Linked DNA regions of Medicago truncatula. The protein of the gene in region 1 binds, or shares a complex with, the protein of each later gene. Links are inferred from orthologs where the notes say so. Each region holds a gene or a part of one and is shown on either strand. Other genes may lie near its edges.

Evidence for each region.
Region 2: SNF1-related protein kinase regulatory subunit gamma-1 (region 1) and SNF1-related protein kinase regulatory subunit beta-1 share a complex: the UniProt entries of both Arabidopsis thaliana proteins name them as parts of the probable heterotrimeric complex. The link is inferred for Medicago truncatula from reciprocal best matches to the Arabidopsis thaliana genes KING1 and AKINBETA1.

What each region holds. Positions count from the first base shown.
Region 1 is NC_053045.1:50,743,258-50,760,172, forward strand, and holds SNF1-related protein kinase regulatory subunit gamma-1, read right to left. Parts: upstream 8,421-16,915; coding exon 8,213-8,420; intron 7,932-8,212; coding exon 7,759-7,931; intron 7,540-7,758; coding exon 7,360-7,539; intron 7,261-7,359; coding exon 6,985-7,260; intron 6,766-6,984; coding exon 6,602-6,765; intron 6,342-6,601; coding exon 6,044-6,341; 3' UTR 5,712-6,043; downstream 1-5,711. Other genes in the region: exocyst complex component EXO70B1, read left to right, coding at 1,694-3,775. UniProt on the Arabidopsis thaliana protein: Regulatory subunit of the probable trimeric SNF1-related protein kinase (SnRK) complex, which may play a role in a signal transduction cascade regulating gene expression and carbohydrate metabolism in higher plants.
Region 2 is NC_053046.1:39,455,253-39,472,685, reverse strand, and holds the start of SNF1-related protein kinase regulatory subunit beta-1, read right to left. Parts: upstream 7,790-17,433; 5' UTR 7,762-7,789; intron 4,428-7,761; exon of another isoform or gene 4,304-4,427; 5' UTR 4,225-4,303; coding exon 4,054-4,224; intron 1,003-4,053; coding exon 824-1,002; intron 737-823; coding exon 574-736; intron 1-573. UniProt on the Arabidopsis thaliana protein: Regulatory subunit of the probable trimeric SNF1-related protein kinase (SnRK) complex, which may play a role in a signal transduction cascade regulating gene expression and carbohydrate metabolism in higher plants.

The DNA.
Region 1 (16,915 bases):
AATAATATTTTTTATTCAAAACAAAATCCAAAAAATTAATTTATTTCCTTTTTTTGGTGAAATTTAATTTGATTCCATATGCACATCAAAAAAATTATTTTATTTAATAATACAATCAAAGTAAGACCTGTATATCTTTTTTTTTTTTTGTTTAGGAAAAAGTAAGACCTGAATATTTGTCACCCATTTTAAAGCAAAATCTTGGAAGAATATTCCGGCGCGTGACTCGTAAGGTAACTTTGTCTTACTATCCAAATGACAAACCAAAACGCACATCATCTAAGAGCGACTCTGAAATAGGATAATTTCCAAATAAATTTAATTTGAATACATACATATAACTGGTAAAATTTAAAAAGGAAATTCCACCAAAAGAAGTTTAAAAAACATGATCCTTCAAAAAAAAAAAGTTTTAAAAAATGATATTAGATGATTGGTGGATTCTAGGGTGAGGGTCCAATTAAGTCCCTCACCGATGGATCACTTTTTATTCATCATCAGATTTGATGAAAGGTTCGGATTTTTTAAAAATAAAAATAGAACTTTGAAAGATTGCTACACACAATCATGCCCCCCATATCTTCCACAATACTCATAGGAGATCTGGATACTTCATATGCAGCTGTCGCGTAAGTTAAGCATACAGAGAAGATATTGTTCCGGCTTGAAAATGAAATTGAACCTTCGTAAATTGAACTTTGTGTTCGTGTCCTTGATGCCTTGGCATGTGGCAACAATGGAAAACATATACATACATAATTTCTTTTAATGATTTCAGTGAATTAGAAATAAAATAAAGTGAGCAGCAAGCAATTATTCTCTTTTCTTTTGATTTCATTTCATTGCAACATCTTTTTCAATTCTATTTTTTTTTTCTTAAACAAAATTGAATGGAAAAATAAAGGTGTGTCGATGAACCAAGAAGTTATTTCTTTGCATTGGTCCAAACGATATTTTAAGATCTTTCATTTGGGAAATACCTTGATTCATCTTCTCCATGGCTGCCATCATAACCAATTAAGCACCCCAAAAAATGTTAAATGCAAGGGCAACATTGGTGGACATGGACGTTTGGTAGCAGAGAAAGGAGAGGAGGAGGGTATTGAAAAAGATGTGTGATCTAGTGTATACAATGTATAATATGATGTATATGTTTGATTAATCTAATAGTTCTTATTTGTTATTATAAGTGATCCATCGGTGAGGGACTTAATTGAATCCTCATCCTAGAATTCATCTAGATGATTTGATTAATTTATTTTTCATTTAAAAATTTATTTGAAATTGTGACTAGAATTGTTTTTTTGTCTAGATGCTTCTACAATAACAAAAATTAATTAATTATAAATAAAATAATTTTTTAAAACAGATTTTACTTTTTTAGAGGTAAAACTGATTTAGTTGTAAGATAGGCTTCAAATTCCAAGCAAGGTAGCCGGCCAAGCCAACACAAAACAACACAACACAACACAACAGCTTCTTTCTCTTCCTAAAGTTTTTTTCTTTCATCCCATTTCCAAACAACACCTAACCACCCCAATCATCTCCTACAAAAAAATATATAAATTAAAATTATAAATAAAAAAATTCTGACATATCCGAGAATAATTCTCACAAACATTTCTTCCATTCTATTCTATTTTCATTTCTTACACATTCATTCATCACACACAATTCTTCTTCTTCTTCTTCTATGACCCAAAATCCAATACAAAACCCTAATTCGATTCTTCCCATGGCCGCCACCACCAACCACGGCGGCGGCGGCGGAGCCACCGGTGCCGGTGGAGACGATCGAGTTCTCGCAACAGCACAACAGATCCTCAAAAGCCTAAAAGCTCCCAAAGAAGATCGTGAAGACATGCTCTTAATCTTCTCCACCTTCGACAACCGTCTCTCCGGTATCACCGACCTTATCAACGGCGACGATTCCAAATCTTCCAAATCCGACGACGACGACGACGACGACGAAGACCTTGACCGATTCGAAGCTGCGGAGAAAGTCATACTTGACGATTCTTCCTTATCCACCGAGTCTTCTCGTCAATCCACTTCGCTTTTCGATCCTCCGAATGATCCTGAAGTCTATTTCAACGCTGTTGATGAGATTATTCAATGGATGGAACACTTCACGATCTCGCCGCCGATTAATTCCGCTGTAAAAACCGGTAAGATTATATTGGATCGTGCTGATAACGCGATCCAAGTTGCTATGTCGAGGCTCGAGGACGAGCTTCGACATGTGCTGATTTGTAATACTGTTCCGCCTGATGCTGTTAGCCGGTGTAGTACTAATCGGAGGAGTTCGTTGTCTTTCAGTTCGCACGATGGTGCGGGTGGGTTTGATGATAATTCTGGGAGTTTTGGTGATGCGGGTGATCCTGGTTCTCATAGGTTTCATGAACGTGGTGTTAGTCTTGGTGATGATTTGTTTGTTGATTTAGTTCGTCCGGAATCAATTTTGAATTTGAAAGATATTATTGATCGGATGGTTAGGTCTGGTTATGAGAGGGAGTGTTTGCAGGTTTATAGTAGTGTTCGTCGTGACGCGTTGGTTGAGTGTTTGGCGATTCTGGGAGTTGAGAAATTGAGTATTGAAGAGGTGCAGAAGTTTGAGTGGAAGAGTTTGGATGAGAGGATGAAGAATTGGGTGCAAGCTGCTAAGGTTGTTGTTAGGGTTTTGTTGAGTGGAGAGAAGAGGCTATGTGATAGTCTTTTCGGTGAATTGGAGGATGTGAAGGAGATGTGTTTCAATGAAACAGCTAAAGGTTGTGTTATGATGTTGTTGAATTTTGGTGAAGCTGTTGCCATTTGTAAGAGGTCGCCGGAGAAGCTGTTTAGGATTTTGGATATGTATGAAGTTCTGAGAGATGCTTTGCCTGAATTGGAGGATATGGTTACGGATGAGTTTGTGATTACTGAGGCGAAGGGTGTGCTTAGAGGACTTGGGGAGGCTGTGAAAGGGACGTTTGCTGAATTTGAGAGTTGTATTCGGAATGAGACTTCCAGAAGGCCGGTTATAACTGGGGATGTTCATCCTTTGCCTCGTTATGTTATGAATTACCTGAAACTGCTTGCGGATTATAGCAATGCTATGGATTCGCTTTTGGAAATCAGTGAAGAGGCTCTTTACCACTTTAAAAATGATTTGGGTGGTGATGAGTCCCAGTTAGAAGCTTTGTCCCCTCTTGGACGACAGATATTGTTGTTGATGTCTGAACTTGAGCACAATCTTGAGGAAAAATCAAAACTTTATGAAGACCATGCATTGCAGCAGGTGTTTTTGATGAACAATCTACATTACCTGGTGCGTAAAGTGAAGGACTCAGATCTTATAGAGGTTTTGGGGGATAATTGGGTTCGTAAGCGCCGCGGTCAGGTACGGCAGTATGCTACGGGGTACCTTAGAGCCTGTTGGAGCAAGGCCTTGGCTTGTTTGAGGGATGAAGGGGTTGGAGGGAGCTCTAATAATGCATCAAGGATGGCTTTGAAGGAAAGGTTTAAGAATTTCAACGCGTGTTTTGAAGAAATATACAGGGTTCAGACAGCTTGGAAGGTACCTGATGACCAGCTTCGTGAAGAGATGCGGATAAATATATCAGAGAAGGTGATACCTGCATACCGCTCGTTTATGGGGAGATTTAGCGGTCAGCTGGAGGGAAGACATGCAGGCAAATACATTAAGTATGTACCAGAGGATCTAGAGACTTATTTATTAGATTTATTTGAAGGATCCCCTGCTGTATTACATCACATAAGGAGAAAGAGTACATAGAATAATTATAAGATAATATGCTTTTGAGTTTTGACAGGTGAACTCATTTTATCAGGATTAGTTGAAAAAGTTTGTGTCATGCATATCTATCTTGTACCTGGATAGCTGTTTATTTTACAGGGTCTTAATGTTAGAATTGGATTTTGCGCCTGCGAATACTGTAATATCTTTGTATATATTCTTAAGTCCAGTGTCTTGCACAACTTATTTATGCTGTTATCGGCAATCATTATACTTGTTGAAATAGTTCTCTCATACAGTCACACTAATAGCTGCTGCCTTGAACTATGATCCGATTCTCATGTAAATTACATATCTGCAATTTGCATTATTTTCACTTTTCTATATGAATGAACTTGTGCTTTTCTTACCTGACCCGACAGATACCATGTTGTCTGTGTATATCTTATGTTTAGATGATAATAATTGAAGTGAGGAAATAAGACATAGGTGTACCAGAAACTGGATCCACTCAAAACATTAAAATTTGCTCATTTGAAAAGGCTTAGATGTTAGTCAAAATGATGTTGATTGTCCAAGAATCATTGAAATAGATCAACAGTTATTATGGCATTCGAATTATTCGTCATATTGATTGTCGGAAGCTGTGTGCCCATGCAAAAAAGATGTTATTGTTTATACGTTTTCTGATCTTGCAATCTTCTAGCATCTACCATCCCCTTTGTTAGATGCCACTTCTGTGCGTCTTTTGCTGCAATAGTTCGTGTGCCTTTTGTTGTTTTGTAATTAGTAGTTCCAGCTATGTGGATATGCTAATTTGCTGTGGCTTACCATGCAATAATTCTGCAAGACGAACAAACTTATGATGATTTGCGTTTATTTTGGTCCCTCGAATTCAGCTCTCTAACAAGCATACTCCATACTCTTTTGTCATATGTATGTGTTGAGAAACCATGATCGGTGATCAGACAGACACATGCTGAAACTATATCAATTGTAAATGTTATTTGTTATTATTTATATGATTTTTGGGTATTGTTCATACAACATTAGTGAATTGGAATGAAAGTCTTCCATTTCGATTTGACTCGATTTTTAATTATTGAAATTCTTATCATGTTTGCTGGCAACAGATATTTTGATTCAGGTATTACTTTGCACTTACACTGTCCATAAATGACCAAAACAGAAATGCTAATTGTCTCTTGAACATCTTTACACTTTAGGCTTGGCCAGCCTAAACTGGAAGAGTTGCTTTATTTGAGCATGTGATGAAACTTCACTTTTGGCTAAGCACGCTAAGTAACTGGTTTTCAATGTGAGTACGCCGTACGCTAGTGTAGTTTTCCTATATTTTCCCTTTGTTTTCAACCTTTTCATTTTCTTTGTTTTTGTCAACTTCCTACGTCAAACTAACAAGTGCAAAACACAAGTTCCAATTGGGATACGTTCCAAGCCGACCCCCGAGAATAATGGGTCTCTTTTTTGTCGTGTTGGGACTTGGGATATTATCTTTTGTCTGTTTCCATAGCCACCAACAAAGACTACCATTCAACTTAAGCCTTTTCATGCACCAGGTACTATTTCAAAATTTATACCATTACTTGTGAGCATTTTCCGTTAGTAGTATATAAAAGGAACTCGAAAGTTAACTAATACTACCTCCGGTCCTATATATAAGAGAAATTTAGGTCAACAAAAGTGAATGTATTTGGACTGAATTTTTAACTAGATACATCAACTTTTGTTGACCTAAAATTCTCTTATAAATAGGACCGGAGGGAGTAACTTTTGGTCGGAATTTTGCTGGACAAAATTACCTTAATAAATTAAATTCTCTGCAAATTTAAATCTTAATAGTATGTCAAAATTATAGAAAATCTGAAAATTAACTATGTTGAATATTTTAAAGTGAAAAACACATAAATTTATTAAACTGAAGTAAACATATTTTATAATACATAAAAAAACAAAATACAAAAGAAAAATGTGGATAGACACGTGTCGCTCTAGTCATAATAAGGTGAACAGAAACACGAATCGAAGACAACGAAAACAACCCAAAATTTGACAGAACTTACGGTTACACCAGAATTTACAGTACATAAAAGTCCCATTCTAAAATTAGTTAAAACAGGTGCAAGTAACTTGCAAACTGCCTACACATTACAAAGACCTAGGTACACATCTTCAACCTGAAGATAAATACATATTTTTTACTTTTCCTCTGAAGAATTATTTCAAAAACAAAAACAAAAACAAAAAATCTCTGCAAGAGCAAGTTATTCTTTCTTGATGCCTTGTCTGTTAAACCCTGCTGTTAGCAGGTAGAGGGAGAACACCATCAAAGAAATCACCAAAATAGCCGTGGGGTTCATGTACTAGCCTTGAGATGATATCTCTTAGTGTGATTAGTCCTTCAAGGTTCCCATCATCATCCACAACATAGACCCTGTGAATTTGCTCTTTGTCAAGCAATTGAATCAACTCTTTCACTGTACAGTCCCTTTTGCATGTAATGAATTCACTTGACATTGGGAATGCGTTTTTATTCTTCTCTAAGTAGCTTCTAACGGAGGTCAGGAAGTCCTTCACTGTAATAGTTCTGTCAAAATGTGAACATCCAATGAGTATGTAGTAATGAAACAGATAGAACAACTAAAGAAAGAAAGATAGAAGATATCAGCAATGCGGTCTAAACACAGTTTTAATAAAAGGTCCGCGTCCACAGTTCAGGTCGTGACACAAGGTTTTTGATGTCTCTGACCGTGATTGAGGTCGCATCAGCCATATTTGACAACATTTCTCAGCAATATCAAGGACTGTGGCGCAACTGCGAATCACAATTTAAAACCTCTGACATACCTATAATCATGATAGATTTCTGGAGCAGTTAGCAAGAATTGAACATCTCGCAAGCTTATATTACCAACTGCCGTGGTGCCACCTCTTTTGATTACAGGCACCCCTCCAACCCTCTTTTTCCTCATCTCTTTAAATGCTTGAAGGACTGGTTCATCCTCATAAACCTGAAAAGAATGAAACGATCCATTGTCAAGTTCATCAAGATCGACAAGTTTACTTTACTTGAAAGGGGAAATGAAATAACTATTTTGAAGCATTTTCCATATATGCACACACATTTAAGAAATGCAAGATAGCATTTTACTCTGTATGCACTAGAGTTATGCAGAATTCATACTTGACAAGGTTCAATGCAATGAGAGCTTATATGATATAGTACACACCTTGATGATCTGTTTTGGTGTCACAAGGGGAAGACCAACATCAGATAGTTCCTTGGTTCCCCAACTTTCGAACCATTGAAGTCCGGCACATTCTGCCAACATATGAATCACGGCGGGTTGTGTGATGATGTTATCAATTGTACCAGAACCCAAGTCTACCACAGGAACACTCTTCATTTTGTACTTAGAAAGCAACAAGAGCATGGTTAGAAATGAGTTTGATCTCTCCAAAGCAAGAAACGGAGCCCATCGAAATGTTCCTGAAATATCTTGAACCTGTTTGCGAAAAAGTTAGCTACTTAAATAACTAAATACAAACTCATTAGTAGCTGGAAGAAGAATCACTTGAAAGAAATTTAGACATCGCAAAACAACCTTCGTGTTCTTATAAAGTTCAGAAGAAGTAAGATCCTCAAAAAAGTTTCCAGAAGTTGTCGCTGCAGATCCGAGGCCTAAGGCTTCGAGTTCTCGGGCAAAAGTATTTCCGTTTGCTGCGGCTGCAATAGCACTTGCGCTAGTTGGAGTGGATGGACTCCTGGGGGATGGAGGCTCAGACTGTCAACAACATTATCACATTAGCTTAGTGTGAAATTGAAGCATCTAAGAAAATCACTTAAATAGAACAGGTATCATATCATTTTTAGATATGAAAACACTGTAAATATAAGTACAAAAATTGATTGTAAATTTTAGATTCATATGTCTTTTGATCTTTTCCTCATTTTTATTCTGAAAGTGAAATAATTGAATTGACAAGTGACATATGTATCTAACCTGATGCAAAATCCATACAACAATTCCAGCAAACTCAACTATTCCGATGTATCTATCAATCCAAGTAGCATCTTCAGGTGCATCAACATCCACAACAGGTGCACTCAGAATATTGTGACGTGCTAGTATTTTCACAGCTTCAGCCAAGGTAGCATCTGATTTTATTTCAATTTCTATACAAGCAAACATAAAATTCACACTTTTAGAACAAACCCAATAAAAACACACCACAAAAAAATTATAACACACACACACAATAACACATCAATTGGTCACACATGCATGTTTGGTACCATAGTTGGTTGGTTTGTCAGAATCACGGTGAACCACCATGATTCTGATATACTATCGTGATACCAAACATGCACATAAATTTTCATCTGGGTGTGATCAAAATCACTTTTTCTTTTATTCAATCAAAATCAGACACATACATACATAGACACTAAACTACCTTGGTTTTTAGCAGGCAAAGGAAAAGCAGAAACAGGTATGCTTTCAAAACAAGCATTAAGTTTGTCATTAGGACTTAATTGTGCCTCTTGAACATCCCATAGATCTTCAACTCTCATCCCAAGTTTGGCTTCAGGGCTCCTTGGCATCTCTCTCATTGTAGCCATTGCCATTACTCCCTCTTCTTTTCTCTCTCTGTGTAACTGCATGATGAATTGATGATGATGACAATATTATAAGATCTCTATGTTTTTGTCTTTTTCTCTTTACTACTCCCAACACATTGTTCCATAATAATAAACTGAAAAATGGGATCTAAAATCTACTAAAACATTTGAAACTAGTGTCCTACACTACACCTGAATTATTCACCTTTGATTTTCATATTTTGGTTATATTAAGGAAGCGTGTACGGTTATGATGATGTAACATGTTGTGTTTGATTTTACTACAGTGGTCAACGTGAATGGTTACGTGCTCCATACTATTCGGTATACTTATCCAAATTTGTAATTTCATTATGGAAACACATTCTTATCCGGTTTTTACTATGGGCCACAAGGGTGTGCTACACTAATATGAGCCGGAGAGTGTTTTGCGCAGCACATAGAATTGATTTCATCATGCTACTTGTATGTAATAAACTATTCATGATTATTGATTTTGATAAAGCAATTATGCTAAAAAATATTTGTTATTCTAAAAGATGATAATTATTGGTTGCTTTTTATATCTTACACCTCATTGATTACATGTATCAACTCTGAGTTTTTTAATGACATTTTTTATTTTAAGGGAGTCACGTCCCACTTACATAATCCTTAATATTTAAGTGAGTTGGGTGGAGTAAAAATGAAAATAAACCTTAGGTCTTATATTAGTTTAATTAATTATATTATATTAATATAATAATTCTTTTGTCACTTTGGCACTTTCACTAAACTGAGCTTAATGACTCAGATGTTCACTTAAACTGATTCGGGAATATTTGGGATAGGAATTATATAATTAACCTGAATTTGACCGTAAAATTGAAAGGTACAAATTGTTTTAGATACAAAATTAATTTAAAGGCACAAGACCAATCAATCTGGAAATAGGGCCCTTTGTTAGGTTATGCTTGTATTTGTTTGAGCTGAGTACATACATAATTATTGATATCGAGTCACTGATAACGCTCACTCTCACTGTGATGTGGAGATGGAGATGGCGTGTCAATCTATTATATTGAAGATAGAAATAATATCATTATCTAGTTTAGACAGTCAAGTAACATTATTTTTAATTTTTAATTCAAATTGAGACAGGTCAGGATAGGAACAATACGTGACTCTGCCTTTGACCACCACTCCTTCCATGATTATTCATATTGTTTTGCTTTTTTTCTTTTACCCACAATAACTCATACCAAAAAATTAACTCATACTATAATTTTGGCACATTAGTTAAACTATCGACGACATAATAAATGTAAGAGTCTTATTAACCAGTGACCTTATGACACTAATTAAGGAAGTTAATTATAGAATTTTTTTATTGGAAACAACAACTTTTTTTTTATTTTCAAAAAGTTGAATATTCACTTTTTCACAATCTTTTTAATTTTATATTCTTAACTAATATTTAAGAACATTGGTTAACATTTTCCTAAATTTAATATATGATAGACTCAAATTAAAGATATGGTGACAGGTATACAATTTTGACACCTTCTTTACACTTGGGCAATACAATTTACTTGTTTTTTTTTTAATAAAACTTGTCTTAACATTTGGAAAATATCGTAATAGTGATCTACATCAAAACGTAATATTAACAAGGGTTAATGGTGTTTTATCCCCTTGTAATATTACACCCCTGTAAAAAAAAAAAAATTGGAATACCTCCCTAATAGGTCATAAAAAAACGACTTTATTTTTTTTTTGCATAATTTTTTCGTTTTTTTATGACCTATTAGGGGGTATTCCAAAAAAAAATAAAATTTACAGGGGGTAAACCAAAAAAAATATTTTACAGGAGGGAAAACCAAAAATGACTTATATTACAGGGGGGTAAAACACCATTAACCCTATTAACAAATTCAGATTGATTATTAGTCTATCAGCAATGATGTCTACCACTTACTTACAATCTAGCTCAATTTGCATATTTGATAGTCCCAATTGATCAAGCTAAAAGATGGCACCACACAGTCTAATGCCTCTGCTTTTATCGGGGAGGAAACCATCCTACCATTTCGTTAAAGCTTTAATAAAATGGCCTCGAGAATTCCAATTCACATACTAATACCGAAGCACCGTTGATCAGCAAAAAAAGCTTTGTCAACATTACACTTAATAAGATTTGGATTGTTTTTTATTATAACAATGAACTTCGATGATTCGGATGCACTTTCCATCATTACATATTTTTCATAACGCGAACTGACTGCCATTGAATAAGAGCATCTCATGCAAGCTGGACGACCTCGGTAATAGGATTAAGTTCACCCACCCACACTTTGTTGTTGCATCGTCGCCACAAACACCACAACATCATGACAATATCGTGACTACTAATATTGTTTAGGAAAGATACAAAATTTACTCTTTTTTTTTCTTAATAAGTGTTACATGGATACAGTTAGCGTGACTTTTTTTTATGAACCAAGTGTCAAATCTGCGCACAGCTACATATATTTATATCTCAAATCGGGTACAAAACTCTCTCTAAAAGTGATTGAAGACTACTACATTTTAAGTATTAAAATCGAATCAAAGATCGGTTGTTAAACTGAAAGAAATATCTTACCATTTCAATCAACCTTACTTAGAATCAGGATAATTTTGTCGATTTCTTTTCATGTTTTCCAAGTCATGAGATCTTAGCATCTCTTCCTTCAAACAACGTGAGCCATTGTGGGAAATCAACGCATTCTATGAGAATGCCACTTTCCGAACTACCATATCGTTGTATGAATCAGATGGACGTAGTTTATAGGCTAAATCTTGTTTATGGAAAGATCTTGCTTGCTAAATATCTAAATCTTCTTTGTGGAGAGATCTTGCTTTTTAAATAGAATTATAGTGTGGTTGTTAGAACTTGGTTAGCCAAGTTAGATTGACTTAAGCACAACAAGATCTAACAATCATTTATCGATGTTATCAATGAAGGAACAAGAGTTGAAATTGATAATGTGAATATTGAAAGATCTTAATTCACTAAAATTTTCGGCAACCTACCGATAAATGGAAAATGAAGGTAAGTCGTTGGAATATAAGGTTAAACAAAACATGATAATAGCCAAAGACTTTTTTGGGATGTACTAATGGGTATTCGAGCTTAGTGGTCATTATCAATAAGGTTAGCAATGGGAATAAGTAATCTTGTTAATGAGGCAATTCTTTCTTACTAGAGATAGAAAACAGTAGTGAATATCTTATCCTCAGACATGCATTTTCGAGGTAAAAGGAAGGAATAAGATTTGGATTGTTCCTTACAACAATGAACTCCGATGATTTTGATACACTTTCCATCATTACATATTTTTAAAACAAACATCAAATCATTTTCCAATCATCTTGCATCCTTTATGAAATACAAAAAATACTTTATTTATTTGCACACTTAGGAGAATAAAAAGGCTACCTTGATATTCACAAGCATATGTAGGGTCTATACTTTACTACAACATAAAAATCGTGCACTTATGTTAATATCAATTATACTACCTCCGGTCCTATTTATAAGAAAAAGTTAACTTTTTAGATTCATTCAATAATTGATGTACCTAATTTAGAAATAGACCAAATACATCAACTATTTAATGAATCAAAAAAATAAATTGTTTCTTATATATAGGACCGGAGGGAGTATAAAATAAAAGTTAGGCAGGTTAACATGTCAACCTGTAAATTTGTGGATTTAAGTCGTATAACTCACGCTTTAAATGGTTCAACCACACGGGCAAAAATAGAAATGGACCGAATTAAATTGGAATTATTATTTTTAGCAAAAAAATTGGAATTAAATTGTATATGAAACAATTGGTTCACTTAATGAAAAAAGATTCGGATAGTAACACAACAATATTTTTAAGTTTTTGTTTTGAATTAAAAAAAGTTAAATCAATATTTTCAAGATACAATTCCTTGAGTCGAGGTATCCGGGTAACTACGATCGAAACCTGATCCTTATTTTTAAGAATCAATATTTTCAAGATAAGCAAGCAAATAAGCAACATCTTTACCTTATATTACTACGATCGAAACTTGATCCTTATTAACAACTCAATTTGCCACCCTCAACGTGGAAATTTGTTAGACTTGTCCAAGCACATAGACGAATTGTTCGGAGTTGCGTTTTTACAAATGCGTTTATGAGTCTCTCCGTCTTGTCCATGCAAAAAGACGAACCGTTTAAAGTTGCGTTTATGAGTCTCTATTTTGTGAGAGTAATTGTTTATGAGTGACCACGTCGTATTTAAGGGTAACCAAACCTTTTTCTTTTTTTAATTAATGGATTGGGTGAGGTTATGGTTCTGGTGAATAAGTTTTTATGCGTTACCCCTAAACATGATGGAGATGAACTCTTAAAGTTAGAAGACAACCTAAATCATCCTTATTTGAGTTGTTTCATGTTTGTCATTGTCTCTTTGAAACATAAAAAGTTCATAAGTAAAGTTGGTGTAAATTAACAAATATTCTTTTAATAAAGTTACAAAACTAGCCCTCATTATTAGTTTTTAGCAATAAAGATGAATGATTTTTGTTCAAATGAAAAGGTGCATATTTGCTGCATATCCCTTCGAGTTTTTAGGTGAGTGTAAATTAGCAAAATTCACACACACACAAATACAAATATAAATATATATATATAGACACACACATATAGAAACACTGTATTTTCACAATGTTGTTTGTGTTACATACATAAAATTAACACATATGGATCCTACATCCATTGTCACTCAGCTTGGGGTGGCCTTATTGGAGATCATCACTGTCAATTTGTGAAAAGGTTTTTGGTGTATCTTGGAACATGAGATGTCTTACTTGAATTATGCATCTAACTCATTTTTTATTTTTTTTTGCTAAACCAGGAGCGTAGAACGACATCAAGGGGAAGCAGCGACACCCAACTAGGTTGGCACCCCGCAGAACTCCCATCCTATGCCGGCCAGCTCAAAAATATTATTAAAAAAGGGAAAAAAGATGTACAAGACGGGGTCTAGGCCAAAACCCTCAAAGAAAGCACAGCAAAAAAAAGGAAAATAAAATATGAAGAAAAACCAACACCATCTAAGGAAACCGGATGTTAGGCAAGGCATGGCGGTCCCTAAAGAAATGCGGAAGCAAAGCATGCGGCAACACCGAGTACCACACTGAATCATGAAGAGAGTGACCCATATTAGCTAGCAAGTCGGCGCAACAGTTACCTTCCCTGAAAATGTGAGAACAAATGACCTGAATTCCCTGATTGCAAGCATTATGCAAACGGTTTCTGAGGAGCACTAGAACAAGAGACCTGATCTTAAAAACCGCTAAAGCACTGGTGGAATCATTTTCTAACCAGATGTTTCTCCAACCGTTACTGGCTGCATATTCCATAGCTAGAATATAGCCATAAAAACAGAGGAGTTTCCAATATTAGCAGCGAATGCTCCAAGGAAAGCGCCCGAATGGTCACGAAACAAACCACCACAGGCGCCTAAGGACCCAACCACCGAGCCATCCATGTTAACTTTGAACCAAGGAGCTGAAGGAGCCTTCCAAGTGACCGTAATAATATCTCTAAAATGGCGGTTATGGGGACTGATAAAGAACGAATCAAGAACAGTGGTATCCGAAGTAACACATTTACCAACGGAGAGATTACCACTCATAGAGGTGGCTGCCTGAACACGCAGCTTCACCGCCTGAAGAGAAGAAGCATTCGAACTCAACTCGTGTTGTTAATATGATTCACAATCGGTTTACTGCTATCCTTCATCTTCAATGTCTATGTCAGGAGGTTCTTTATTTTATCCACCTCTTAGGTTGGATTATTCAGGTTAATCACATTCATCTGAAAGCAAACTCGTGTGTAGCTCTTGCTCTTAGAGGCCAAGATGTTGATTTTTCACTTGTTATAAATAGATCTTATTCCTTAAGGGGTATTGGTTCCTTTATAGTCATGTCTTATTGTGTTCTTTTCTAGTTCCTTTATCAGTTTTTTTTTTTTTAATGTTATGTTTTAATGGATAGAATGAAACAATGGCAACTTCTACGTTGCACGAGCGTCTGATATCGTGAACCGTACGTGAGCAAGTGAACGGTCAGAGTATTAGAAGGCCGCAAGTATTATTATGCATCACAGACATCTTGCATTTTGATCTTTTCCCTCAGTTTCTCGCTGTCTTCCATACGTTTCTCTCTTCCATGCATTTCCACTTTCTCCAAGCAGCAGTCAATCTGACTTTCTTTTAAAGTTGAATGCCAACAAGATTAAACTTCACGATCTCATCAAATTGAGACTTCTCAAAAACTAGAACCGTTGCAATGGCTAGTAAAGCAAATAAAATAGGAATACAAATTTGAACCTACGCTTCTTGCCATTACAATTACAAGCCCTAGTTCTGGGTGTTCAACCATGGAGAATGATTTTTCTGGCTTGGTTTTTCACTTTAATTAGGATGTTATTATATCACTTTGATGAATTACAATGACTTCAGGTGAATAAAATTTTCAAGTTTGATCACAAAAAAAAATATTAGAAAAAGAAAACCAAACGTTTTTAATGGTTGATTTCCATGTGAAATTATGTCATGCACCACTCTATGATTAATTAATTATCTATCAAGTATATAAATTAAAATGGTGTTTCTTTATTGAGGTGGCATGACAGCATTGTTTTTAATACTTGGTATATAAATTTCAATTCGATCATTCACTAGTTCTAGCCACATGAAATATTCTACGTCCTGAAAAAACAGACATGGTATAGTTTCCTAGTTCTAACCCAAAACATTCAATATACCACTACGAAGACCGCAGTTGATGTTACACAAGAAATTAGTCAAGTGTTCTCGGCTCATTTTACCATTGTATAATAGGAGATGAGAATTGATTGATGCAAATATGGTTAAGGGACTGTTGTAACCAGCCAAGCGTGATCAAAATCTTGAGTCAATGTACACGACTCCGGGTACTCAATTCCAAAAATGAAGGATGAAAAGGTGCATACTTGCTTCTTACACCTTCAAGTTTTTAAGGTGAGTGTAAATTAGCAAAATTCACACACACACACACATATATATATATATATATATATATATATATATATATATATATGGATTTGCTAGAACACACCCACTAGTTTTTATGTGGGAGTGTTTTAGCAAGTTATAACTAAAAAGTTAATAAATACACCTTAAGGTGTATGTTGCTATAACACACCTTCTAACAAAAATAAGTGGGTGTGTTCTAGCAAATCCTATAGGCATTTGCTAGGATACACCCACTTAGTTTTTAGAAGGAGTATTTTAGCAAGTGAATAACTAAAAAGTGGTTAAATACACCTTAAGGTGTAGCTTTGCTAAAACACTTCCACATAAAAATTAGTGGGTGTGTTCTAGGCTACTTCTAGCAAACCCCATATATATATATATATAAATATAAATATTAATGTTTGTGTTATATGTATATTATTTATTAAAAGTTCATATAACTAATAAATCTTAAAAGAAAAATAAATTACTCATATTATAACCAGTAATTTATTAAATAAACCATCACATCTATCTCAAATATAAAATAAATAAATTCTAACTATTTAAGTTGAAAAATACCTCTAAAATAAGATAAAAAAAATTATCACGAGTGTGTGTTTAGAATGAAAATGATGAGCGCATGCATGAAAACAAAATCATTGCCTTCTAAATTTATAAATTGATTAAAATATGTAATTTTATCAAATTATTATTTAAAATTTATCTATCAATTTATTGTTTAAAAATGAATAAACTATCTATTAAATTTGACAAAAGTTGTGCTAAATTAAATATAATTTAAAATGAAATTTAATGAAGGAGAAGACTGAGAAACAAACAAATGGTTAGAATTAAGGATAAAACTTATGTAAATTTCTTTTTGTGTTTTTCGTATATTCTTAGCTCGAAATACATTTTTTGTGACTATAGCAAACTTGTGTGTTTTTCGTATGGTTCATAACTCAATACATTTTTCGTGACAATAACAAAAAATTAATTTTATGTGAAGAACCATAAAAAAAAGCATTTAAGAAATGCACATAAGTCTTGTCCTTTAAAATGAAAGTTTTTTTTAATGAAAATAAATTTTATGTGAAGAACCATCACATGCAATATGTAATGAGGGGTTTACACTCAAATCTCGATGGAATGTGTTAAATAAGGTTTTTTCTAACTTGCTTTGGGAAAGAGGTGGGTAAATTACCCATCTTGAGGTGGCATCACTATAACATGGACAACTGTAATCCACAATAAAAAATGGACTAGGAGATGGATTTGATATATTGACCTGGTATACTTTTGTTATTAGCAGATTGACCCATTAATTAACTAAAAAAAAATAAAAAATTCCAGATTATTTTCTTCTTCTGCATAACTGCTTTCTTCTCCAATATCAAATAACCGCTTTCTTCTTCTACCTTTTCTTTCAATTTTTCAACCCAACCATTACTTCCTTCAATCCATTTGTAATTTGGG
Region 2 (17,433 bases), on another chromosome or scaffold:
CTTGTATTATGAAGAAAACTAAACTCTCCAAAGCCCTCCCCTCCTAAAACTCCCCTATTCTTTCCATTTGCTCCTTCCTTTTTTCCAAAGTCCTCCCCTCCGAACTCGCAAACAAAGCCCTACTGATTAACAACTTCAAATTCATGGAAAGCAAATTAAGTTAGAACTCAAGTTTAATTTAACTATTAAGTATGTTCTATAGTAAATTTCATCACACTAATGCTCTGGCCCTAAAAGCAGAAAATCTCATGAAATTTGGCTTTCCAAAACTCAAGTAAATAAACCAACAGTAGAGTACAGAATCCAGTATTTCCTCGGTCTATATTCATCCTTGATATATGACATAAAAAACAATGAACTCTTTCCTTACCCCTCACATCTAGTTACCTGCACCCCACCACCACCCCCAAAGAAGAAGAAAAAAACTGCCACATATTACATACAAGCAAGCAATCATCGTTGCACCAAAAGGACAAGATCCTCGAATTTCATTTCATAATGAAAAGGATATTGTTCACATAACAATAAGATGTTTGCAGAAGAAGAAAAAAACACAAAAAGGAAGATGCATACATTAACATCAAGAAGATTGCAGACATTCCCCATCTCATCAGCTACATAAGGAAGATCCGGAATATATCTTTGTTCACCGTCGACAATGAACCTGTAATGAAATATACCTGATGGGAGGACTATAAGAATCGAGTGATCCTTGCCACCTCGCTGCAATACCTTCCTGATAATTAAAATTAACCGATTGCTAACTTTTCATGTCAAATTCAATCAAGCTACCATTACTAACAAAGGAGTTATCAAATCTTACCTAGATGCCCAGTTATCCCAAGATCCCTCCACAGCCACACTGTTACCTCCATAATTCCAAGTGATCATAACAGGGATTCCTTGCTCAGGAGCTTGATTAACAATACCATGAGGCTCATTCTGCCACATTTGATTGAGAAAAGGAGGCCCGTTACCTCTTTGTAATGGAGCTAGAGGAACCTGAAAAGTACAGAGAAATCCTATGTTTAGATTTTAATTATTGGCAAGTCTTTAATTTTAGGAAATTCCTAATTTTTTCCCACAGTCATATGAAAATATAACCATGAAGCTTCATTAGACTACAGCTGTTAACAAGGACACATAGCTATGGTGCGAACTGACCCCAATCATTTGGGATCAGTAGCAGAGTTTTATCAGTATTTTAGAGGGGGGGCAAGTATGTAAAGAATATATATAACAATATTGCTTTAAATTTATAGAACTAGTTGGCTGGTGTAGTGGTTAGTTTTGTTGTAATTTAAAGCTAAGTGGACTGAGTTCAAACCTCGCGTTCAACATTTTAGCCAAGGAAATATAAAAAAGGTTTCTGCCAGATTCGATCCCAGGAAACTTAAGCTGCAAAAACGCTCTTCCACAATTGCGCTGGCATACATAGTTTGGTAAATAAATACACATAATGTGTGTGTGTGTGTTGATACTACAAAATTTATGTGTACCTATTGAAAAGAAGAAATTTTTGGGTGGCCATGGCATCCTCATCAAAACTAAGATCTGCCGATGTTTCGGATGTTGCATAGTTAAAATTGTCTAAGATATCTCATGAAATCTAACTTGTTTTGGAGGGCAACTATCACGTTTCCAGATATGGAATCAAATAGTCAATAAAAACGATCACATCAATTGAATTGAATCATGTGGAGTTAAACGAATTTAAATGTGTCATGATTAGGGCCAAATACAAAGTTGTTGGAATATGAAATATATTAAGAAAATGCTATGAGTATGAGGAGCACCACTCTTTTATTTAAGATTGAAAATGTTTTGGAAAACAATTTCCACAATTGAAGATAGACAGTCATTTTCCACATATTGATGGTTTTTTTTTACTGACTAGGAAATTATTTTTGGGCTGACAGCTAAAAAAATATGCATTAGCAGCAGCAGACCAAGGAAAAACTTTCCTATATATGAAAGGGTAAAAAAATAAAAAATATTTTGTCCATGTTAAATGAAATTGTGCACAATCCATTCATCTAAAATTCAAAGAAGGCAGTAAAATAGCGAAGGACAGTGATAACTCGTATAAAGTTGATAAAGTATGAGCCTGGTCTGTTAAAATTTACTGGAAATGGAAATCTATGAACTCTACATGAGAGATTCCCAGGAGAATGGGGGGATAACTGCCAAACAAAACATTTTCTCTCAATTCTCTTATCAACGCAAAAAATAGAAAATTCCAAACAATGACCAGGAAGAAAGATGACAATGAGCAATTTCCAAATCAACGGGATCAATATAAAGTGTACACAGATCAGGAGAGAATAAATGTATATGCAATGCAAGTGTTCATGCTTATAATCTTGCGTAGAAATTTTGATATTAAATAAGCTTAAAAGCTTAAAAATATAACCGCATACAAGATTTTTTGTGCACATCATGATGCATTGGTTACGAAATCCAAAATTGCTAGGTCAACATTGGCACAGTGTTCTGTGAACTCACGTTCCAATACTGCATGTGTTATTTTTCAATTCAGAAACTTCGAGGACAGTAAGCTAGTAGCCAAGGGAACATGTCACAACAAAACTCAATACAAAACAAAGTCCATAGTGTTTCACCCATAAAATGGCTTCTACAAAATATATATCTTATTGACTTTCCAAAGTCCACACATCGAATCGCAAACAGTCAATCCAGAAGCTTGAATTGAAAGCCAAATTGACAATCGTACTTCTCAATTACAACTATACACAACATATGGACATAAAGCATATATCTCATAGACATTCCTCCAAACAGATCATTTCACAATTTACACACTTGATCAAGGACGTTATTAAATGCAATTCCCGATACACACTTGATCAAGGACGTCATTAAATGCAATTCCCAATTTCCAAAACAGACAAAATCAACAGATTGAGTCCGTTAGACTAGAACAATTAATGTGAATTTCCAAATGGTGTAACGCTACATATACAATTATCTGGTACAACTAACAACCATCTGCAACGTGAAGACATGGCTCCACGTGTTTTACAAGGACAAAAATCATGTGGTCCAACTCAAACTAAGATGGAATCGTGTGTTAATGTCTGAACCGTGAAGTTATGACTAAGTGTCTGTTTGTTTTCAAGTTCAATAAGCACCAAATGGTCAACGGCTTCTTGCCTGTTTGTTTTCAAGTTAAACAGGCTCCAAATGGTCAACGGTTTCTTCCTTATCAGTAAGGACTGCTTTTAAATGTGTGCATGCTTGGCCCACATAAACAAACACCCTGCGTTAGTAAATTTGGTAAATTGTTTTCGACTCTCACTAAACCAAAATGAGATTGCATTATTGCAAGGAATCGCAAAAATGGTAAGCTAACTACATTAACAGACAGATTGTCAAGCATAACCGTTCTTCAAAATCTTCAAAGAGATTAAAGCAATTAATTAACTTTCTAGATTCGCAACATTACACTTCATCACCCCCTCATTCCCTATCTAATCAAGTTTTGGACAGACAAATCACATGGAAATCAACCACACATTAATTCCTTTTGAAATCACATTCATATATACATACACAATCAATGCGCGCGTGAGCCAATCGATCAATAAATAAATAACAGAATTTGCGGATCCATTTAATATAACACACGCAATAACCTACAGTTTAAACTTGGTAATAACATTAATTCCTAATTCAATCCAAATCACATTCATCAACTATACACGATCCATGCACTCGCGAGCCAGCCAAATCAATAACAGAATCCGCAGATCCGACCAATTAAACAAACAGAATAATCTACATACAATTTAAACTCAATAATAATCCACAGTTTCAACAAAATTAACCTATTAGCATTTAATTTAATTCATAAAATGATTATTAACATTAATCAAACATACTAATCACAAAATGAACAGCATCATCAACGAACACACAAAATCGAAATTCAATTCAACAGTAACGATTAACGAACGAAAATAACAACTAACATTATTGTATAACAAAAAATTCAGAAAAGCGTAAAATGAAAGAACGAAATAGAAAGCGAACCTGAGGACCGAAGAGGATCGGCGATCTGGAACGACGAGGACTTTGAGGCGGACTATTTGCCATTGAATCGGAAGAAAAAGCACGAATAGGAGGTGGCGCGTGAGGTTCACGACCGGAAGGATCGCCGGCGTCGGGAATAGCTCCGTCTTCTCTTCCGTTAGCGTTTCCCATATTGTTGTCGTTTACTTGCAATGTAGATGAAGGAAGAAGAGTAAACGACAACGAGAATTGTGAGAGAGAGAGAGAGAGAGTTTGTTGAGAAGTGAAAGTGTTGCAAAGAAGAAGAAGAAGAAGAAGAAGAAAACGGTTATCGTTGTTCGTTCTTATCAAGTTTTGTGTCTGAGTCTGATCTGACGCTGGGATGTTTTGGACTTTCGAGCCAGAAATTTTATTATTAAAAATAAAATATGAGGGAGAAGAGAAAAAGATAACTTTTTTTATTTTCTTACACTTTTTATGGTATAAAAATATCGAAATTATTAAGCGGAACATTATGATTAGGGTTCGAATTTAAAAACTTCACTTATGTGTGAATTTATAATAATTTTGTCATTTCGTATGTCTAAAAAAAAAAGATACGCGCAACATTTTCTCTTGAATTTGACTCAACTATTACGATATCTTTGGTTAACAAAGGATGTCCCTCGACACACACATCCTTACTTTTCTATTGTCACTCTCTTTTTTCTTTGAAGAAATTAAACTAATTGATCCAAATTAAAATTTAAGATGTCCGCACAAGGGATCAAACAGATGCCTTGGTCTATCGATGACAACCTCTTTACCACTTTGCCAAAGTATATGTTTGTCTCACTCATTAATCGTCTTATAATGAAGGATTAACATATTAGCGTTTCTTATATTTTTAGGCAGACAAACCAAAGTAGCTGATTGATTTTCGAGTTATGCCTTTTTAATACCTACGTGTACTTACTATTTGGACCTCCATTGCCGAGTTATCTTAACCTTTTACGACAGGATATAGCCAATGTCTATTTTAATCGACGTATTCGTTTGTAATTTAGCCTAATAACCTCCCTTGTAATTAAAAAACAAGAAGAAGAATCAAATCACGGTTTTCTTTCACGGAAGTTACACATATCATCGTATTTACAACCTAATTTCTTACTATGATTTTACTTTGTTGTATGTAAATAAAAAACAAGCAACATTTGTAAGATCAACCACTATAAATTACATCAATATTGTTAGATTTAATTTCTTTTGAAGTGTCGTAGATTTGAACCTCTTATTATGTGTGTATAACTTACTTCGTCTGTGACGAAAAAGTGAAAAACAAACAAAAACTATTGTATTAAAACTTAAAAGGAGGAAGAGGAATCCTAATAAAGGCTCTAGTGATTTAAAAGGGTTGAGATCCTCTTCATTTAAATTTTTCTCCATTTTTACAATTTGGAGAGATATAGACACATAAAGTAGGTGGTGGGTCATATCATTAAATAAGTCTGACTATCATTAATTATTTTTAAGAATTTGTGTCTATATCTCTCTAAATGGTAGAAATAGATAAAAATTTAAATGGAGAGGATCTTAACTCACTTGAAAAGAAAGAGGAAAAAAAAACATGGTTGGAGGATTTTGATAAGAAAGATGAAACAAAGAAATAATGTCTCAAATGAGAGGTTCAAGGGACATCATACTTGTAAGACTCAAAGAAATCATGAGATGATTCAAATTAAGTATTTTGATATCGCAAGGCAAATTTCTACTCCTTCCGTTTCAAAATATAAGCAAAATTTATTTTTAAGGTTCATTCAATTAATGATCTATGTGGTTCATGTGGTTCATAATATAAACCTCATACATCATTAATGGAATGAAGTTAAAAAGTAAAATTTGCTTATATTTTAAAACGGAGGGAGTACCACTGAGCTAAAGCTAATAGATAATTTTCATTAATTTAAAATTTAAATAGTTTCTACTTTCTAAACAATGAACGAAAGTCCTTTTTAAATAATAACGAACAAAAGTACCTTTTAAATAATACAAATTTTTATTTTTGATATAATTATACGTTCTGAATAGATGTGCATCCATTGAAAAGATGGTATAATGAATGAGTAGTACAATTTTTATGTTTAATGGATAATTGAATTTAATTTTAGTTATTATGTCCTCGTGAGCTTAGCTCTATTGATAAAGACTATGCATAATATCTGTAAGGTAGGGGTTCAAACTTCGGCCACCACAAAAAATATAAATTAGTTATTATCATTCGAACTCCAGCCACCACAAAAAAAAAAATTGGTTATTATCGCTGGGGAAAATCCAAATTGATTTTTAGGTGAAAAATGATTGCTGAGACTTTATTTATCTCCTAACCTATCATTAAGGCAATATTCCTTTAAAAATTGGAGGGTTAACACACACAAAATTGATTGTTTTGATTCATCTATTATAAACAAATTGACATTGATCAAATATTCATTTTGCATCGTAAACCAACAGAATTAGTTTATTGTTGAAGTATTTAGTAACATTTTTTATTCATCGTAGTTCTGAGTGTGGGTTACAGATTATGAAATCAACAAATGGAAAACAAAAGTTTATTTCTAAATGATTAGCTGACAAAATGCAAGATTCGCATGAAGAAATAGCTGCCAAGCCTAATTTTGATGCGTCATGTTAACCGGTGTTCTCGGGATACTAGTTAAGAAAATTAAAAATATGAAATTTTAAAATGAAAATAACACTTTTTATATTTTTAAAGAGTTGACAACACAAATTTTAATGTAATATTTATTATATTTGACTATCAATTTTTATACTAGGGTTTGCGAAACGAAAGACACTTTGTATTAAAAAAGTAGTAAAAAAAGACGTGCTTCACACTCACGGACAAAGGAATACTACTAAAATGCAATGTACGAGTCTCGTCCCCCGGTCTAAAGACAATTTGACATTTTCTTTTCTTTCCATTTTGGTAACTAATAAAATATGCTCTTTATCCCGTATATAAGCATGGTTTAATAGTTAGTTAATCAATACAAGACATATTGAATACAAAGATTATGATTATAAACTACCTTGTGATATACAATATGTTGATTTATCAAATATATTAGATATTTGAAATTCATTTGAGTTGGTTTGATACAGTTTGATTCTTCCTGAAGTTAATTTAGATAGGTTAGTTTAACTTCAATTAAAAAATTTACTCAATTAGATATTTGAAATGCATGAATTCTTTCTCAAATGATACTTCTTATGCATCTCTCTTCTTATCACCTTATATATATATATATATATATATATATATATATATATATATATATATATATATATATATATAAGGTGATAATCAATTAGAATTCTCATTATTCTAAAATGGATCATCAATATCATCCTCTTGTGTGAGCTCAATATAATATGAGTCTCGTCTCTTGATTGATATAAACTCAATAGAACTGGATGTATTAATGTCAATAATTGACCATTTCGCAAATAATCTTACTTGATATATATCATGCAATCACCAAATCACAATTTACAACATTATAATAATACATCATGTAGTTGTAACTTGTAAGCAACACTTTTTTTTTATTAAAGCAATAAAAGTTCCCCAAAAGGACTTGAGGACGAAGATGGTGTGCATTCAAATGATTGAATCAACAAGTTAAAGATAACTCCAAATCGATTACTATCACGTGTGTGTACTATTGAAAACTAGCAAAGTTCTGAATTGAGAGAGAGAGAGAGACCTATTGTAAATTGACCACTCACCAAATTGTTTACAATTTAAATACAAGGTAGGACCAATGGAAAAAAAATTCCATATAAATTATAATTACAAGAATCAAGTTCAGATGGATGAAGACGGATGTTAAGGATAATTTCAAGATTGAAAATAATATTTAATATAATTTTTATTAACTTTTACTTACGTTTCAGCTCAGATTTTCAAACTACCTTCTTCCAAGAATTAGAGGGTTGAGTGAAAGAAAAAAAAGAATCGACCTTCCATTAAGGAGACCAATTGCAATTGCGGTCACCTTCACTCTAGTCTAGTGGGACAAGCAGGGGCATGCCCATCATTAGCAACTTGCCAAGGGCCATAACCATTCAATAGTTGGACATGCAGTAACAATAAATATCCAAAGGGTCCAACTTTTTTTTAAAGTAATTAGGGTGTAGTAGATACCGAGTTTCTCTTTGGAAAAAAAACTCAATTTTGAAAAAAATAAGAGAAAATGTTACAATTTAATCATCATATCTTATACTCCCTCCGTTCCAAATTATAAGCAAAAAGTTTTTTAGAGTATAATTTTGTGCTTTCTTTGAAAAAAGTTTTATAGGAAAATGTAAAAACAATTTTCATTGGTTATTGATTATGGAAAAAATGAAAGAGAGAGAAAATTGAATATAATTTGCATTTAATTTTATGAGAATAAACAAAAGTTTTTCTTGAAAAATAGTTTTTTTTAAAAAAAATAAGATTAAATAGGATAAAAGTTTGTCTTTTTTATTTATATTTTGAGACAAAGAACGGAGGGACTATAAAGTAAATACCTTGTGATTGTCAACGAGGTATTGAGAGACAGTGGCACCTTAAACTCATTACAAAGACCCAAAAACCAATATGTACCTTGCAGCAAAAGTATATTGAGAGAACTTAATTAGTCCCTTAGTTAAATCTTGGCTAGTCAAACTCCCATTATCAAATACATGAATACGTTGCATATTTCCCCAACTATTCTTCAAACTGAGTGCTGCGTCATAGTCATTAGAGTGTGTGTCCTTATTTTTTCTTATCAAAATATAGAAATGTCAATGATTATGCATCATAATAAGGTGTGACAAATGAAATCTTCAATAGTTGCTTACTTATCATCCACAATACAACAAATTCCTTAATTATTTAAAGTGGTGATACATGTACATCCATAGGTGGTATACACACTTAAACCTCCACATAAACATGTGACACGTGTCCTAGACCCCACAAACACTTTGTCTCTCTTCTCTTTCATCCATCTCTCTCCTCTAGAATATGTGGGGGTGTATGAGTGGTATGGAAATATGAGTGGTCTACCAATCATTTTCCATTATTTATGACATGTACTCGAGTAATCCCAATATCCTCGTCATAATATAAACATTATGAACACGGACCACAAACTCCATAGCTTGAAGGCAAGAATAAATTATTTGGCAAAAACTCCATAGTGAAAATTGTATTGTATTAACATTACTCCCTTCAAATGCAAAATATTTGTTTTTGTACTTACCAAACCGATGCTGAAGCATAATTTGAATTACGAGTTGTGATGAATATATAATTTGACTTTTCAATATATCCGCAACACAATGTGAGTTGAATTTGATCAAAGCTGTCTAAACACATGTTCAGATTTTAATATCCGAAAAATTTCAATTACACTTTGGTTTATAAAATCTAAACAAAAACAAAATGATCAATTTGAAGGACGTGCAAAAAGAAAATAATTTCTATTCTCAAAAGGAGATAAAATGGTCAATTTGAAGAGTGCACGAACATAAACACAGTTCTTCTCTTCTCTTTAGAGGTTTAAAACGTTTAAAATGGAAGAATGATGATATATGACATAAATTGAGACGCTTAAGAGACAATCTATGTCCATACACATCTATCTCTTCCATTTCTAATTTACATTTCAGACTAATATAAACATAATGTTTTGTTGTATTGTGTCCGATGTGGGCCTTAAATAAAACCAACATGATATGCAGTAATTACTTTCTGTCATGAAATTTGTCTCAAACATCATCAAAATTGTAACGCCTTGGATTTTGATCCTAGACATTACGCCTAATTCATTCACATTTTCGAAAATTACTACTATTTTCTTTTTATCATTAATAATAAATTCTTAGCAAAATCTATACAAAATTCTTAACATAATTTAATAAAAATTCCTAAAATAAATATCCTTTAAAATTTAAAATTCGATCAAAAACCCAATTTGTCCCCCGTACGCACTTCAAGCAAAAATCATAAAAGGTTGCTTGGCTGGATCAAAATTGAGAAATCTTAGAGACAATCAATTTAATCCCCTCCACTTTCATCATAATTTATAAGACATTTCACCTCGATTATAAACATAGTATTATGTTGTATTGTGTCCAATACGGAACTTTAATAAACCCAACATGATGTTCGTAGTTACTTTTGTCATAAAATTTGTCTAAAAAATCATTTGTCCCAATTATATGAATCCCTATGACGTTGGTGTATTCTATTCTAAAAATAATAAAAGATACATGATAAAATAAAAAGAAATAGTAAAGGAGAGACATTGATAGACTTTAATAAATCCAACTCTTTGCAGGTTGCTTCCAAATTGATACATAGCCAGCCAAAGACCGTTTACGAACCTTCACTGTGGAACAATTTGACTATTTACCAGTTCGTGATTTCTCAACTGTCTACTAATTGAAAAAACAATTTCTCCTTTTTCTTGATTATAAGGTTATTAGAGATAATAAACAAAGAAGAGTTCACATTCTAGTTAATCAACACTACAAAAAACAAAATCAAAATAACAATTCAAAGATAAATACAACTTTTAAAGTATTTTGTATTTCTTTCAAATTACGTTCAACATATAATTATTTGTTTAATGAAATTTGTAGAAGCCATGTATATAATGCATTAGTGCCAACATTCCACAGTTTCAAGATTTCAATTTTGAACATATATTTTGAATCCAAAATCTTAAAATGAACAAAACTGCAACACTGTAGCATGTTATAGTGTTAGTGATGGAATTAAATATTTTCAAGTTCTTAACAATAGGTTCACAATTTCACATAAACTACTTAACATAAGTTTTAGGTGACAATTGTTTTACATTTTCTCAAATTCTTATTTCTTATTCACTTGAAGAGGTTGTTCTAACAGTGGTAAAATAATCAATTTTGAAGGCGCACGAGAAGTTAATAGGTCGGAAAAAGAAATTCTCATCCAATATAGAGGTCTATAAAATGAAACTATGTATACGCAGACCAAAATGAAGACACAGTTGAGGGAAATAAATTGTGATAATTTATTTCCCTTACACATGCCTCACACTTAAAATTGACATATGAGACAATTATAAATATAATGATATGTTGTATTGTGATCGATGTGAGACTTTAATAAATCGAACATGATATATAGTAGTTACTTTCAGACATGAAATTTGTCTCAAACGTCATCAAAATCATTTGTATATTGAATAAAATGAAACAAATTATATATATGAATCCCTATAATGTCCGTGTATTCTAGTCTAAAAATAATTAGGGTCATGCTCTGGTCTGTCTGATTAGTAAGGTTCGGCCAAATAAAGATACATGACAATATAACAAGCTAATTATATGAATCAGTAAATGAAGAATACAAAAAGGAAAATAAAAATAACAATTCAAAGATAAATATAAATATGTCACTCACCACATCCTAAAATATCAACACTAGTTTGGAAATATGGTGAAACACATGATGGCAACCTTTCATTTCCCATGAAGACTTCTTTAGCAACCTCATAGACCTAGTAAATAAATGAAAAACAAAAGTTTCTCCAATCCACAAATAGAACATAACAAAGATGAATATGGAAAACTAACAAAAGTAATTTGATCATATTTGTTCTTGGTGCCTTTATTTCTTTATTGGCATCTAAAATATAGAAAGTTGACATTTGTGTTTTATGCTTGTAATTCCTTGAGTGAGAGTGTTAAACAATATGAGACCTTTACATTTTTTATAAGTGAAGTACTTAGAAAGGGAAATAGGGAGTGTCTTGTGTGGTTGGCCTCTAGTTCTCGACCGCCCATGTTGAGCTTTCCCTCCTTTTGGCCTCCATGGTTTCTCGTTGGGGGGTTGATCAGTGGGGTTTTGGTGTTCTTGCTTTAGCTTCCGTTGTTGTTGTGGTGTTTTCGTTTTTCTCTTTTTCTTATAGAGGATCAAAATGAAGTGATTTTAAAAGGAATATATAATCAAAACCGTGAGTTATGATGAATATATAATTTGAAATGTGAGTTGTATTTGATCAAAGACTATTCAAATTTTATAATCCAAAAAATGTCGGATACAGAGAAGTTAATAAATGGAAAAGGAGATTGTTGGAGACAATAAATCGAGAGATGTTAGAAACAGTTAATTTATTGCCCTTACATTCTCCTAAGCTTATAAAGACAGTTTAAACAATTATAAATATAGTGTTATGTTGTCTTGTGTCCGATGTGGGATTTTAATAAATCCAACATGATGTTAGTAGTCATAAAATTTATCTAAAAAATCATCAAAATCATTTCCAAACTAAAAATCATTTACCAATCATATGAATCCATATAATGTCCATGTATTCAAATCTAAAAATAATTAAATATACATGACAAAATAAAAAGAAATAGTGACATGGATAGACGTAATGATAAGATACATGACAAAATAAAAATAAAAGAACAAGTTGGCTAGTTACGGATTCGCGATTTCCCAACTGTCTACTAAGTGAAAAAACATTTTCTCTGTTTTCTTGATTATAAGGTTATTAGAGATAAACAAAGATGAGTTCACATACCATGAATCAACAATACAAAACATAAAATAAAATAACATTTCAAAGATGAATATAAATTTGTGATGCTCATGTCACAGTCCATATCCTAAAATATCAACACTACTTTGGAAATATGGTGAAACACATGATAGCAACCTTTCATTTCCCATGAAGCTTTCTGACCTATGCATTCCTCAGAGCCCTAACTATGAATGATGTTATTGCTTATAGAACATAGCAAAGATGAATATGGAAAACAAATACAAAAAACATGTCTCAAAGGTGGAAGAATTCGATAAAATCATGTATCATAGACTAATTTTTCTAGAAAATTTCTCTACACAGCACATCATCTAAGATCTACTTTATTTCAGTTGATTTGGAAGTTAATCATCTTTTCAAGAACTAGACTCCCTAATATCACTCTGCACAGACTCTTGCCACACCTGCAAGGACACTTCCATGACTTCTTTCATCCAAAACTTGACGCGTATTAGCTTAGAGTTTTTGAAGGATAATAGTGACTTTGAAAGGAACTTATCGGTGAGTTTGAGCTTCAAGTCTTGTTGATCTGACTCAATGAATCGCACACTGGTCTTGTTGAAGGATAATAGTGACTTCTTGAAATTGTTTCTTTTTTTAGGGGAAAAAATTGAATTTGATAGAGTTGTTGAATGTTAGGCCCAGCATCCTATGTTGGTAGAGACTTTGGAGTGGTACAACAGAATACTTAGGTCATATGCTGAAGTTACTCAAGTCAGCAATTCAAAGTCTCGGTTAGAAGTATACAAACACAAAGTTATATCATTTAGTTAGCTCTGTGGGAATAATGAATCCAAGTTGGTATAGAATTCGTGATATCCCACAGTTACCAATGAATCTAAAAATTATTTACACTACTAGAAACTCACGTTTTTCCTGCGGAAATTATTCCACAGGAATTCCTGAGTATTTTGCTGCCATTTCCTTTTTGAACGAAATTTCCTGCAGTAATATTACCTTTTAACTCTTTTAATGTAAACAAAACTTTGTTAGTATTAATCTTCACACCGTATGTTTTTCAAGTCGAAGGCACTGCAAGATACAAGGGAACTTTTTCAGCGTTACTGTGATGAGAAAGGGATAAAATTACTTCAAGATCTGCACTTGTATGGGGTCTTTTATATGTGAAACCTGTGATCACATTGCAGAATATTCAATTTCTTATTTATCGCCAAAGGCTCTCCTATCTTTCGAACTAAATTGTTGATTTCATAACTCTAATTTCTAGCTGGTGAGTTTTTCCTTATCCTTATAATTTTTATGCATTTTCCCCCCTTTCGTTATCAAAGATATATTTATTTTCTCAACAGTCGGTAAGATGTTTGTTATCCACGTCTCTAGGTGTCAATGTATTTTGTGTGTTCACTGTCATGCTTTTAGAATTGAGATGTCTGAGATGATTCAAGGAAGAATGGATGATGTGGTTATAGTTTTCGGTTCTCTTTTATTTCATCAAATTCCCTTGTTTGTGTGTGAGGCTACGGTACAATTGAACTAATTGAACTCGATCCTTTCTCTTCGTCTATTCTCTTCTTACTAAACAGTGAGCTAGTTGTTCTGTTGTGATAAAATGTTATTGTTTGTTATTGTCCCATGATTTGTCTTATAAATTGAACACAACAAGACAGTTTGGCCGAGTGGTCTACGGCGCCAGATTTAGGCTCTGGTCCGAAAGGTCCCACAGCTGTCATTATTTTTGTTTTTTCATCATTTATCACCAAAACACAAAATGCTCAAATAATATCACCAATTATCATTGCTATGAATACTCTCATCTAACTAAACGTATAAATTATGTCTCAGGTTGTAGAATTCCATAAAAACAACATATAAATGTATCATAAACTAATTTTTCTTTTGCTATTTAATTTTTTTTTAGAAAAATTTTCAACACAGCACACCAATTTTCATAACATAATCATCATTGTAACTTAGATTAAGTCGATTACAATCCCGCAGTTTAAACGTGCTAACAAAACCTTCTTAATTTCAGTTGTTTTGGAAGTTAATCACCTTTTCAAGAACTAGATTCCCTAATATTACTCTGCATGGACAACTGTGTCTATTCATTTACAACAGAAATCACGACAATCTTCAGAGCTAATCGGAACAACACAATCCTAGACTGTAACAAAAGTCAAAATAAACGTTTAAAATGACCCAATCAACCAAAAATGCAATAAACACACAAAAAACCGTCTGAATCGTCCACAGCCTGACACATTTCGGTTTTATAATATGAACTATTGCTCAGTATTGGTTCGAATGATATAATTTGAAACGGGCACATATTGTGTTAATAATTATGATTCGGGTGAATTGACACATTTTGGATTATATACTTCGAACTGTGTTCGACACACATAAAAATAAAATTTATTGTTAAATCAACCAGGATTAAAATGTGAGTTGTGATGAATATAAAATTTGAAATATGATTTGAATTTGATCAAAATTGTATAAATACAGTTCAGATTTTATAATCTAAAAAATGTCAAATACTCTTTGGATTATAAAATCCAAATAAAGGTAAAATGATCAATTTGGAGGGCGCTTAATAAATTAATTGGGTGGGAAAAGAATTTTGTTTCCCTTATTGAGAACCATAATTAAGTGATTTATAAAGGGAATAGATTGATCATAGTGATTTATAATTTGGAATGTGGGTTAAATTTGATCATAACTGTGAAAACACAGTTCGGACTTTTTAATCAAAAAAACGTCAAATACATTTTGGATTATAAAATCCAAACAGATGTAAAGTGATCAATTTGGAAGGCATGCCGGATGTTAAGAGGATGGGAAAAGAAATTATCTTTGATTATAGAGGACCAAAATGAAGTGATTTTCTAAATATTTTAAAATCCAAAAGGAGGTAAAATGAAATTTGAAAGGTGCACACAAGTTAATATGGAGGAGATAAAATTCTCTTCCATTTTAGAGATAAAAAAAGAAATTATGTTACAAGATTATAAATTGAGAAGTAAGATCGTGAATCTATATCCTTCCAACTTTTCCTTCCATTTGTAATTCACATTTCAAACAAATATAAACTTTGTTGTATGGTGTTCGATGTAGAACTTTCCTAAATCGAACATGATATAGTAGTCACGTTCTGTCATGAAATTTGCCTCAAACATCACCAAAATCATTTGTATTGAATAAAATGAAACCAATTATACGAATCTCTATAATGTCTGTGCATTCTAGGCTAAAAATAATTAAAGATACATGACAAAATAAAAAGCCAATTATACGTATAAGTACTTTACTACGTCTTAAGAAACTAGTCGGGATTGGGAAGGGAAGGAACTACGGAAGGCTTTGTCTTAAGAAATTTCTCTACGCAGCACATTAACTATTCCTTAACTGAATCATAGTAACTAAGATCAATTTAAAAATGCTAATAAGACCTACTTAATTTCAGTTGTTTTGGAAGTTAATCATCTTTGAAAGGAACTTATCTGCGAGTTTGAGCTTCAAGTCTTGTTGATCTGACTCAATTAATCACACACTTGAAACTAAACTAACGCCTCTTTCTCAATCCAATGCCATAGCTAAAAAAAGTAAAATAATACGTAAAATATTACGTAAATGAAGTGCTCTAAAAGATAAGATGGAAAAATATTTCGTTTGAAACATTTAGGAGACTAAATTCAAGAGATGGTGCACAAAATCAACTATAATTATTAGACATTGAATACTTGTAATCAACTATAATTCTAAACATGCATGCAGTACAAACCAAAATCACAGGACAAAATTATTAGACATTGAATACTTGTAAATTTATGCAGTTAAAGGAGGGAAATCTCAAGTTGAATCAAACACAATATGATTGAGCATATGCAGTAACAATCTCAAGTGTTGGTACTAATTATGGACTAAGCTCAACTGCAAATCAAATTCGGAGACGTTTTAAAATAACCCAACATACAAGTGAGTCTACCTATTTACTTGTTTGAACTCTCGCAGAGGGAATTGAAGAATAGGTTCACATAAACTACAGAATGTCAATTTTGAATCCACAATCTTAAAATGAACAAAACTTTTTCTCAATTTTGAAGAGGACTAAGCTCAATTTTGAAGAATGGGAGACAATTGTTTCACATTTTCTCAAGTTGTAATTTCTTAATCACTTGAAGAGGTTGTCCTAAACATCTCTGGCACAAGGTCACAAACACCAACAACTTTTGCACCTAGCTTGAGATTGTTGTACAAATAAGTAGTTGGTAGAAAAAATCTGATAGAGAGAACTTGCATAAGATATATCATCAAACTGATATTTTATTGCAACTTAGCAGCACAACAGTCTGAATTCTGTGCTTATTTGAAAGAGTAGCAAAGTTCTGGAATTTTACTTTTATCTAATCCATCCACAAATGACAATCCTCAACTGATGATTTGTGCTCCAAAGGCCATGAGAAAATCGGTTAAAATCTGGTCCATTATAATGATGATTGTCTTTCACAAGAAGTATGCTGCAATGCAATTTGAATGCTGTTACTCTTTATAATGAACCATGTTTTCTGAGTCCCACATCGGCTGTTTATAATAAATAGCATAAAGACATAGAGAAGAACGCCACAGAGGAGAGCGAGATTCGCATTTCTGGTCTTAAAAAGAATGGCGTTGGAAGATAGATTGAGAAGCTTAAGAGCCAATCTATCTAATCTATCTTCCTTACACTCTTCTCCCATTTACAAATGACATTTGAGACAAATATAAACATAATGTTTTGTTCTATTGTGTTGGATGTGGGACTTTACTAAATCCAACATGATATAGG